3 linked regions of the Arabidopsis thaliana genome follow. The protein of the gene in region 2 purifies or fractionates together with the protein of the main gene of each other region. This does not show direct contact. Each region holds a gene or a part of one and is shown on either strand. Other genes may lie near its edges.

Region 1 (3,757 bases), on a different chromosome or scaffold from region 2:
TCCCTCAATGGCTTGAAATTCAGTAACTTTGGCTGTTTCACTTGAGTGACAATACCACCCTTCACATATGTTCCATAGTTAGTAGTGTCCTCATCAAGGGTGAATGAATATGGCCGTGTACTTTTTATCTTCCTTGGTTTCCCATCATTCAATTCTGTCATACCCTCAACTTCTGAGAAAACAACTAGGTCACCATCTTCAAACTCAAGCCTCTCATCGTCGACACAGGAAATAAATGCCTGGTTCTCATTAGAGATAGACGCAATGATGCCTGTATGGGGTTCCTCTCCATCAACATCAAGAACCGCAAATTCAGGCCCAAAATCACAAAAGACAGAGCCGAAAAGACCCCTGACATCAGCCTTGACAAAAGCGATAGGAGGCTGATGGCTGTGACAATAGTCATCAAATTCGATTGCTCTTTCCATGCTTATGTCAGAGAATACAACAACCTGTTTGGCACAAAAGTAGATGTATCAGCGTAAAACCCGCCAACAAGAAACACACACCAATGAGAAAAGTGTACACCAATCTTCCATATCAATATCAATAAACACTAGAAATAGCCTAACACTAAATGAGACAAAACCCATCTCTTATATGCAACGAAAATAGAACAACCCACTCTTATGTTACTCATTCAGTTACAGTGTTATCATAAACTCACAAGTAATCTACAGAACGATACAGTACACAAAAGACTCAGACCATATAGAACCAATAACAAGACAAATGAGTTGTCTACAAACCTGGAAGCCAGAAAGATCCTCTTTGTTTAAGCTTTTGGTCAAGCTAGAGACAACCACAGCATTGTTAAGATCCTGTAACTTCTGAACAGAAGCATCTGCTCTATTCTTGCCAACATCATCCTCCGAGAAAACAAAGTTGCTTGATAAGTCCCATAGCTCTACAACTCTTTCATCATGCAAGGTCACAGACTTCACACCAGCAAGTATAAGATTCTTGGCTGAAGAAAATCAACAAATAAAACAAAAACTGAATGAGAAAGCAATCGACTAAAAAGTATCATTAACAGTTCACATTTACCATGCATCTTAGAAAACTGGCATATAACGAAACCCCAATAACAAAGATATCGAACAACTAAGGAACATCAGGAAGCTACTAAGATTTGGATGTTGAAGAATACCAGCAATCACAGATCAGGAGAACCAAAACAAAACAACTAAAGAGTAAAATCTTTGAAGATGACACAATTATTCACAGCTTCTAATAACGACGCATACGAAAACAGTGTTTCTACAAGTTTCAAAAACCAAAGAGACGAGGGAGACCACAATCTCAACATAAAACCAATGAAGTACATACCAATCTCGGCACCAAGACCGTGCATCCCCGAGATGAGAACATTGGAAGCAAAGAGACGCCTCATAGTCTCACGACCATAGACGGCGAGCTGGCGACTGTGCAGATCTTCATCAATCTCCTGACGGTTCGAATTACCAAAAGCCATGTCGATTTGCTGAACGACGCTATCGCCGTGAAAACCCCTGCTACTACCAGAAGCTAAAATCGAAGAAGACTTATCAGACGAAGATTCAGTGAAATCGATACGGCGTTTCTTAGATGATGCTAAATCGGAACCGATGATGGTATTATCGTTCTTATCGTTAGCTTCACTAGCTCGCTTGTGAAGCATAAAGTGATGAAAAAACCTGGAGAAAACATGTGAAATTCCCATTAGATTAGAGAACACTGAAGAGAGAAAATCCGATCAGAATTGAAATACCTAACCCTAGATTGATTCTTCGGAAGCTATGAGAAGGAAGATAAAACGTACCTTTGAGGAAAGCAGACGAGAGAAGATTGGAATCGGAAAAGAGAAAAAGTTTTTGAGATCTGAAAATTGAAATTGAAGTGACGAATTTTGCAGAAATCTCTAAGATTTATTTAAGAGAGACGGGCGAACGAAAGGGGTTCGGTTGTGGGGGGATATGAAACGATGACGTTTTAACGGTTAAGGTTTGATTTGTCGCTCTTTCTCCGCGTGATTGTGACGGCAACTCTCTGACCGGGGGACACGCGTCCGTCACTATTTCAAGACCAGATCCGGTTTAGTTAATTTCTTATGGATCCTTCTTATGAATCTGTATTAAATCTGAAATATTGCTTTCTTTTTTTAATTACCAAGTTCAAAAAAACTCACATCTTCTTTTGGATAACTGGAAACTTTAATATTATAATTAAATATTAGATCAATTTCCAGCTATGAATATTATAATTAAATACATTTTCTTCTAAAGTTTCTCAAAACAATCTTTTGAAAAAAAATTCATGACTTTCTATGACTTTATTTTGTGAAAGAAAATGTAGAAAGTCATGAACCAATAACATAATAATTTAAATCATAAACAATCAGAGATTTTTTTGTTTTAATAGAATAACACAAAAAATTTACTGACTTTATAAAAGTATGAATTCAATAATCTAAAATTTATGAAGATTTTTAGATTACTTTTTACAAATCTTTAATGAATAACACAAACTTTTAACATACTTTTAAATTTTTTTGATTAAATAACAACAGATTCTACATGATACTTTAAGTCACTAAAACTCTTTTGAAATCATAAACCAATAACACCTCCTTAACTCGTGGTTAGTTTATACAAAAATAAAACTCTATAAATTAATACTTGATAACTTACTTAATCACTATATTAATAAACGATTGTAAATTGAAATTTAACTTATGATTAGTTTGGTTAAAAGTGTAGATTTTGGAGTTGATGTTGCAATTCCATGGATAGACGATCTTGAAATATTTGATCGCAGTCCATGGGAGTGAGATTTCATCAACTTTCAATTTCTAGAGGGAGAAAGCAACAAGTCGTGGGTCTTCTTTTATCCAACTAAAAATGTTCATCTTGGATATTTTAATTGCAATGGTGCTCTTATAAAGTGGGGCAGTGTCAATTACTATGTTCATCAGTTTCAAATGGGTCAAGAAGTTGTGAGCACTTCTTCTAAACTAGCTTACTTAAGGTATCATGATGATTTACCCATAGAGTTTGTGGATGATTGGCTAAAAGGATGGAGTTTGGCAGAGTATAACTACAAAGGCAAAAGTCTCTACACTCTCAATTTCTCACCTCAGGCCAAGTCATTCATCACCCTAAGAAAAAACAAAAATGGAGTTGTGCAAAATATCTTCCCAAGACGAGTACTAATGATGCTGGTAAAAGAAAGGAATCCACTGGTGCTCCCAAAACGAAGAGGATTGCTAATAAAGACAAGGCTGACAAAGTGGCAAAGAAAACTAAAACTGGGGAAACCCTGAAGGTGAATGTACTTCAGAAGCAATACGAGTTAAAGGCATTTTGTCGAGCTCGACAGGCAGTATTGAGCTAACTGATAATGAGGGTAAGTGAAGAACTCTTCTATTTGTAAGAAAAAAACAGCAATTTAGATATGCTTAAAAGATAAGTTATCTTGTCAGGTGATCGTGCTCTATCTGATATTGGTGCTGCATTGGATGCTAATATGAGGAAGCAAAATCTGAAGCTTTAAGAAGGAAAGGCATAATAGATGCAGTTGAAACCTGGAAGCAAGCTAAGGAAGAAGAAAAATGGCTTCGTGACTACGAAAAGGTAGGTGAAGACCTGTGATACATCAAGAGAAGATTGACTTGATTAAAGTAAGCATTTCTTATTATATATTCTTGATCGTCTTTATAGGATGGAAACCTCTTCAATCTTGTAACTCGTAAGAGGAGAGTACGAACACTTAGAACGTG
Region 2 (3,354 bases):
ATATATACACGATATATATGTTTCTCTGAAATAATGTGTTTCTCAGAAATAGCACGAAATATTTATAAAAAGCATGCAATTCTCTTATAGATCGCGAAGTTTAAAAAAACATATAGAATTGTTACAATATTACATGGGTTTTTATTGGATAACATGACAAATATTTATTTATTTCATGAGTTTTTATTGGATAGCATGACAAATATTAATATATCAGTGTTAATAACATGTTTTGTTCTTAAAATACATGCATTTTAAAATCAGACATTTGTTTTAAAATCAAATCTAATCTCTTATATCACAACGACATTGACGGAAAATTCAGGTAAAAAGAGAAAATAAAGAATGAGAGATAGAGAGATTTCTATGGAAAAAGAAAGAGAGAACATGTAGGTGAACAAAATAAAGAGATATGATGATATATTTTATGAGAGGTGGTGAAGATTATTTTAGGAGAGGGAGAGAGAAATAGAAAAAGAAAATGACATGGTGAATCTGAAGAAGATGAATTGTGTTAAAGATGAAGAGAGAAAGAGAACTCCATGGCTAAAGTCTCGTAAAGAAGATGAAAAAGAAACAAAAGAAGGAAGAAGAAAGAGAAAGGCTAAAATAGACTAACTATTGCCAAAATTTCTGTAGCCGACAAATACTATTTGGTCCAAGGTTATTTTGTGTATTCTTTTGAAGTCAAAAGTTATTTCTTACATATACTCTAAAAATATAGCCGATACCAATTTTTCCACACATGGACTTCCTTTATTCCAAAAGTCAATAAAGTGTGACGTCATGATACTTACGCTTTAAAACATCGCATGATGATGTCATTAGCATCAATCTCCACCGTCCAATTTATTTAGTTGTTGACAATATCGACCGTCTAAGTTCCACACCGACGGCTATAAGAGTTTCATTATAAATTTTAGCAAAATAAAATCAGCAAATAATTTTTTCTTGACTAAGCTTAAACGACGCCGTTAACATTTTCTTCTGGCTAACATGAACAACTCTTTGAAGAAAGAAGAACGCGTAGAAGAAGATAACGGAAAATCTGACGGTAACAGAGGGAAACCGTCGACGGAAGTTGTTCGGACGGTAACGGAGGAAGAGGTGGATGAGTTTTTCAAGATATTACGGAGAGTACACGTGGCGACACGAACGGTTGCGAAAGTTAACGGCGGTGTTGCTGAGGGAGAGTTACCGTCTAAGAAGAGGAAACGGAGTCAGAATCTTGGGTTGAGAAACTCGTTGGATTGTAACGGCGTTCGAGACGGAGAATTCGATGAGATTAATCGGGTCGGGTTACAGGGTTTGGGTTTGGATCTGAACTGTAAACCGGAACCAGACAGCGTTAGTTTATCGTTGTAGACTTGTAGTCCTTCATGTTTTTCCCCTTCTTACAATAATCAATTTTTTTTTAACTACAATACTTTTGAAAAAAATGGTAAAAGAAGATTATTAACATGTTATCCAAATTTCAGATTCTTCAGTTTTATTTTATACGTCAAAAGAGAAGTTATATATTTGCAAAACTACAAGTCAAACAAAAGCTATTTAAGCGTTTGACGTTCCTAAACAACATAAATTTTACTAAAATCAATGTTTTAAAAAAGTGTTGATGGTAAAGATATCAATTGGGCCTTTGCCTGGCCCGTTTAGTAATATTGCAGAGTAGGTATGGGCCTGTATAAGGGAGTCCAAAAAAAGAGCGGGCATTGCGGGTTGGGTGCGTTTGGAACTTTGGATTGTGGATTAGTCATGGTTTATCTATTAATGTCTGCGGACTTGTGGACGACGCGCTTGTTCTTCTTCCTCTGTTTACGACTTACGAACATATGATCTCTCATCTCTAACAATGATGGAACCTAAAGCCAAGTACGATCGTCAACTCATGTATACTATGTTAGTCTCTTCGAACTCTACATTTGTATTATTCTATCGATCTTCGAACGAATCTTGTTGGGAGGAAATTTTATGAAGTAATCGTTGATTGATTAGGATTTTGAGGTGAAGTCAAGGGACTTTGGAAGAAGCGAGTATCTGTTTACTCAATTGTGGTCCTATTGGTTCCAATGCCTTGAAGAATCTCGTCCTTGGTGGTGTTGGTAGTATCACCATCGTTGAAGGATCCAAGGTTCTAATTGGAGACATTTGGAAACAATTTCATAGGTACTAAGTAATGACTAGTTTTTGATTTTTTTTGTTGCTATTTTTAGATGCTATTTGTGTAGTTAAATAGTTATGACATCTCTTTTTCGTCGTTGTTTGGTTATAGCTGGTGGAAGATTCAATGGTGAACCTAGATATTAACGATGGAGTAGACTGAACAGTTTGTGTTTGGTGATAACACAGAATTACAAAACTTGTGGAATAACCATTTATTACGGTCAAAGTCTCTTGTCTTCAAAGGCATGCAATAGAACAGAAGTTCTCCATAAGCGAAGGTTTCAGAGACGAGAACAACACTGTGTTTCAGAGACGAGAACAACACAGTGTGTTTCAGAGACAACTAGAACAGAACAGGATTGCGGGCCAGACCGTTAGACCAATGGACATTGCGAGGCGAATATGGGCTTCGATTGGTCGCATGTGGTCGTTGGCGGACCGGACCACCACTTATGGAAAAGAAGCACGGGCCATCACGGACCCCCCATTTGGTCGCGTGCTCGCCCGTCTGACATCCCTAGTTGATCGTCATCTAGATTTTAGACGTTTATGTGATATCTAAATAACCGTTTTGGCTGTCTAAAATTCCATAAGTTTTATTTTAGTTTATTTTTTAGTTTTCAACTATATAAATTTAAATTATAAGTTTTAGCTTTGTATATATTGTTTGTTTCCAACTATATAAATTTAAATTATAAGTTTTAGCTTTGTATATATTGTTTGTTTCCAACTATATCAATTTAAATTATAAGTTTTAGCTTTGTATATATTGTTTGCTATGAATTATAAATGGTTTTATCTAAGTTTTGTTTATAATTTCATATTTTTATTTTTCTAAGAGATAGTTTTCTATGAATTTTATTTATAATATAATATTTATAATATGTTATGTTGTAAATGTGTAGCCGCTTAAAATCTCCTAAATCATGATTAGACGTTCTAGGCGTAGATCACCACCTCTTAAGTAGCTAGTTAGATTTAGCAGATTATCCAGTTATCATGCAGATTAATTGTATTAGATAGATTTTGGTAAGATAGGTGAATTTAGCCTAATGCTTTTAAATTTATGTATTTTAAAATTAGTGAATACTGAATACTCATATTTCTTGCTTATGTATTTTGATTAATTTAAAATATACAATTTATTTCTATTAACTTGTTTTTATTATGTTATATTAATACAGAAATATA
Region 3 (3,757 bases), on a different chromosome or scaffold from region 2:
AGATCCTTGAGATTGTCATGAAAAGGTTTAGGAAGTCGAAGGAAGAGACATAAGTTTCTAGTGCTCAGCTTCACCGATGACAGACTCCACCCTGACGTTTTGGTTTTGGTTTCAGTTTCAGGAAACCCCACATCCCAGTACACATCGAAGATCACCGCTCGGTTTCCATTCAAGATAGAATCTTCTCTTATAAGTGAAAGGTATGGAGAGATATCTGTTGATGATCCAACATCAATGGTCTTAGTCTGAACATAGGAGCCATCAGTCATCTTGAACTTTGGCCCATCAAAGGAGGCCATGTGATGAAAAAACACTAAAGAATATTCACAAATCAAATTAGATTCAACGATAACTGACAAAGTTGTAGCTAAACTTATCTCAATACTAATAGAAGTGGAAAGTAAGATAGTGAATCCAATCATCACTCATATAACTTGAGCACCAATAAGGTTTCCTCTTTTTTATAAAAAACTACAAGTATTCATGAGTTGGAAACTTGGAGAAATTGGGTGAAGAAAGGACCACACATTGAATAAACAATGATCTAGCATCGAATTGATCAAAGTAGAGGTAAACAAACTTTTTTTTTAGTTTTGGCTACAAATACCATTGATCACTCCCCCTAGTTCTAGGTTTCATGACCTTTCTGTGCATCAAAAGATAACAAGAAAGAAGCGAAACTTTTTGTTCTATATCTCTTAGACTAATTAACTAATGGAGAAACAAAAACATTTGATTCTATCTTAGTTCTTGTAACCCAAAACGATCGATCCGAGAGATAAAATCCCCTAACTATCATCTGAAATTGGAATCATACTAGTCAAATTCAACTTAAAAGAGACATTAACTGATGAGAAGTTAAGAGGAGGACGAACCTTGAAATTTCGCGTCCGGTTAGGGATCGTAGTAAGCGAGGAACAGTTCTTCTGGTTTCTGCTGGAAGAGAGAAGACTAAATCCCCGCGAGGGAAGAAGAAATCACGAAATGGAGACACATTTCCTCAGCTTGCTTAACCAACCATACGTTAGTAATTTAAGCTGACCAATCCGGTTCAACCGAAATTCTATGTCTTTTGAATGTTTTTCTTGACTTTTTTTTTTAAGGGGTCCTTGTCAATCTTTGTTACCAACGCCAATTCACACAAGAAATATAATGTGAGACATTTTTCATCGTTATCATACAACCGTGAATATACTTGTCAAGCAATGTTGGTCAAATTCTCAAGATACAAGAGTTTTTTTTCACGCTAATGTAGTCACACTACAAATCCATTAATATTATTTTTTTCGTTTAGAAATCACACATAAAACATAGATTGTGTTTGTTGGTATAAGTGATAGAGAGAGCATCCCCATATCATTTTCCAAACACAAATGCTCACACCAAAATGGTTGAGTTCATAAGGTACATTTCCACACATTATGCTTAAGTTTCACTCTTATTACACTTCTTTGAAATGTCTATTAATCTTTAGGAATTAGCAAGTACGACACACATTCAAATATCCAACAACTACTCTCTCTTTATCAATCAACAAATAAAAAACAAAACTTGATTGATTAACAATTTCAAAGTTTAAATTCAATCACACCTAACCTGAATTAAAATTTGGTCTATTGCATACTCAAATCCGGTTCAATGTTACAAGACCAAAACCAGATATTTATCTTAAACTGGTCCACTTGAAAAAACGAAAAAACTTACCACACAACACAGGCTGATTCTGAATTCAGCACAAATAGTTTCAAAGCCCAACAATCATCGCCCAATTTTTGTTATATACCGCCGCTTCTTTCTACACAACCTACAAAGCCAAAAGCTTAGTATACTCTCTCTTTCTACTTTAACAACAAATTCGCCGCTTATCGCCTCCGATCTTCTCTCAAAGGTACGGTTTCGTTTTCATTTCCTCCGATTCTCGTTTCTTCTTCAGATTCCTTCATCGATTAGCTCTAGGAACCTTCTCATCGGAATTCATTTATTGTCTTTGTTTGTTATTCGAAGCTTCTTCTGTTTATTTGATACATATTCTCTTTCAGTTACTCTATATGGAACCATTCGTTGTTAAGGAGAACATCATCGCATCTGCTTCTTCGCCGATGAAGAAGCGACGGATCGATCACACTGAGTCAGCTGATGGTTCTGCGATTAACGCTTCTAACTCCAGTAGCATCGGTTTGAACAACAGCATCGGTGGTAACGATACGGTGATGAGCATGGCGGAGTTTGGTAACGACAACTCCAACAATCAGGAGATCGATGAAGATCTTCATAGCAGACAGCTCGCCGTTTACGGCCGTGAGACTATGAGGAAGCTTTTCGCTTCCAACGTTCTCATCTCTGGGATGCAGGGCCTTGGTGTTGAGATTGGTAACGATTTTTGTACTTTTCGTTGTTAATTTCTGCTTGCATGTTATTCCTGTGCTTGTCCTGCTGGTTGTTAAAGAGCTTCAAGCTTGAGCAAACGTATTTCGTGATTAAGCTGTTTTGATGTTGTGTGTACATTTGGGCACTTGAAGTTGAGATTGTAAAATTGGTATATTAACTTGTTAATCCTGATTTTCTAATGAGTTAGTGACACATTATATAATGGAAGGATTATTCAATATTCACTATAGATTTGTAATGAACTAATGACTGGTATAGCTCTTTATTCTCTTCGTTATTTCCTTCTTTCTGATGGATGATTTTTTTTTTTTTTTCTTATTTAGCCAAGAATATTATTCTAGCTGGTGTGAAGTCAGTGACCCTTCACGATGAAAATGTGGTTGAGCTATGGGACCTATCTAGTAACTTTGTTTTCACGGAGGAGGACATTGGTAAGAATAGAGCACTTGCTTCTGTTCACAAGTTGCAAGAACTCAACAATGCTGTGGCTGTCTCAACTTTGACTGGGAAGTTAACCAAAGAGCAGCTTTCTGATTTCCAGGTATCCAAACCCTTCCTTTATTTGGTTTGTCTTTGCTTCCTTGTTCTAGTTGTTAATAATACTATCATGATTCATGGACATAATTATCTGTAAAAGAGATTAGAGGTGACTGAACGTGGATGAAAACGTTTCTACTAAAAGTACAGAATGTTTGGCTTTAGTGGTTGATTTCTTTTTTTTTTCCTTGATGCAGGTTGTGGTATTTGTGGATATCTCTTTTGAGAAAGCGACAGAGATTGATGATTATTGTCACAGTCATCAGCCTCCTATTGCATTCATCAAGGCTGATGTTAGGGGGCTGTTTGGGTCTTTGTTTTGTGATTTTGGACCTCATTTTACTGTTCTTGATGTTGATGGGGAGGAACCTCACTCTGGCATCATCGCTTCTGTTAGCAATGAAAATCCTGGATTTGTTTCGTGTGTCGATGATGAGAGGCTCGAGTTTGAAGATGGAAATTTGGTTGTTTTCTCTGAAGTTGAGGGAATGACAGAGCTAAATGATGGAAAACCAAGGAAGATAAAAAATGTCAAGCCATTTTCATTTACCCTGGAGGAAGACACCTCTAGCTATGGGCAATATATGAAGGGTGGCATTGTGACTCAGGTTAAACAACCAAAGGTGTTGAACTTTAAACCTCTTAGAGAAGCACTTAAAGATCCAGGCGACTTTCTTCTAAGTGACTTTTCAAAGTTTGACCGACCACCTCTTCTCCACTTAGCATTCCAAGCACTTGATAGGTTTTCGTCTCAAGCAGGCCGATTTCCGTTTGCTGGTTCAGAAGAAGATGCTCAGAAACTAGTGGAAATTGCAGTTGACATTAATGAGGG

Evidence for each region.
Region 1: the proteins of AT3G25880 (region 2) and UBA1 fractionate together in Arabidopsis thaliana (co-fractionation; one large-scale study listed by BioGRID). This does not show direct contact.
Region 3: the proteins of AT3G25880 (region 2) and UBA 2 fractionate together in Arabidopsis thaliana (co-fractionation; one large-scale study listed by BioGRID). This does not show direct contact.

The regions. Positions count from the first base shown.
Region 1 is NC_003071.7:12,855,710-12,859,466, forward strand, and holds the start of UBA1 (ubiquitin-activating enzyme 1), read right to left. Parts: upstream 2,019-3,757; 5' UTR 1,802-2,018; intron 1,677-1,801; 5' UTR 1,661-1,676; coding exon 1,330-1,660; intron 968-1,329; coding exon 750-967; intron 453-749; coding exon 1-452. UniProt on the Arabidopsis thaliana protein: Activates ubiquitin by first adenylating its C-terminal glycine residue with ATP, and thereafter linking this residue to the side chain of a cysteine residue in E1, yielding a ubiquitin-E1 thioester and free AMP.
Region 2 is NC_003074.8:9,468,532-9,471,885, reverse strand, and holds AT3G25880 (NAD(P)-binding Rossmann-fold superfamily protein), read left to right. Parts: upstream 1-1,852; coding exon 1,853-1,899; intron 1,900-2,010; coding exon 2,011-2,166; coding exon of another isoform or gene 2,167-2,173; exon of another isoform or gene 2,174-2,272; coding exon 2,273-2,294; 3' UTR 2,295-2,781; downstream 2,782-3,354. Other genes in the region: NIMIN-2 (NIM1-interacting 2), read left to right, coding at 997-1,365.
Region 3 is NC_003076.8:1,968,191-1,971,947, forward strand, and holds the start of UBA 2 (ubiquitin activating enzyme 2), read left to right. Parts: upstream 1-1,769; 5' UTR 1,770-1,888; intron 1,889-2,039; 5' UTR 2,040-2,048; coding exon 2,049-2,370; intron 2,371-2,711; coding exon 2,712-2,929; intron 2,930-3,122; coding exon 3,123-3,757. Other genes in the region: AT5G06450 (Polynucleotidyl transferase, ribonuclease H-like superfamily protein), read right to left, coding at 1-299. UniProt on the Arabidopsis thaliana protein: Activates ubiquitin by first adenylating its C-terminal glycine residue with ATP, and thereafter linking this residue to the side chain of a cysteine residue in E1, yielding a ubiquitin-E1 thioester and free AMP.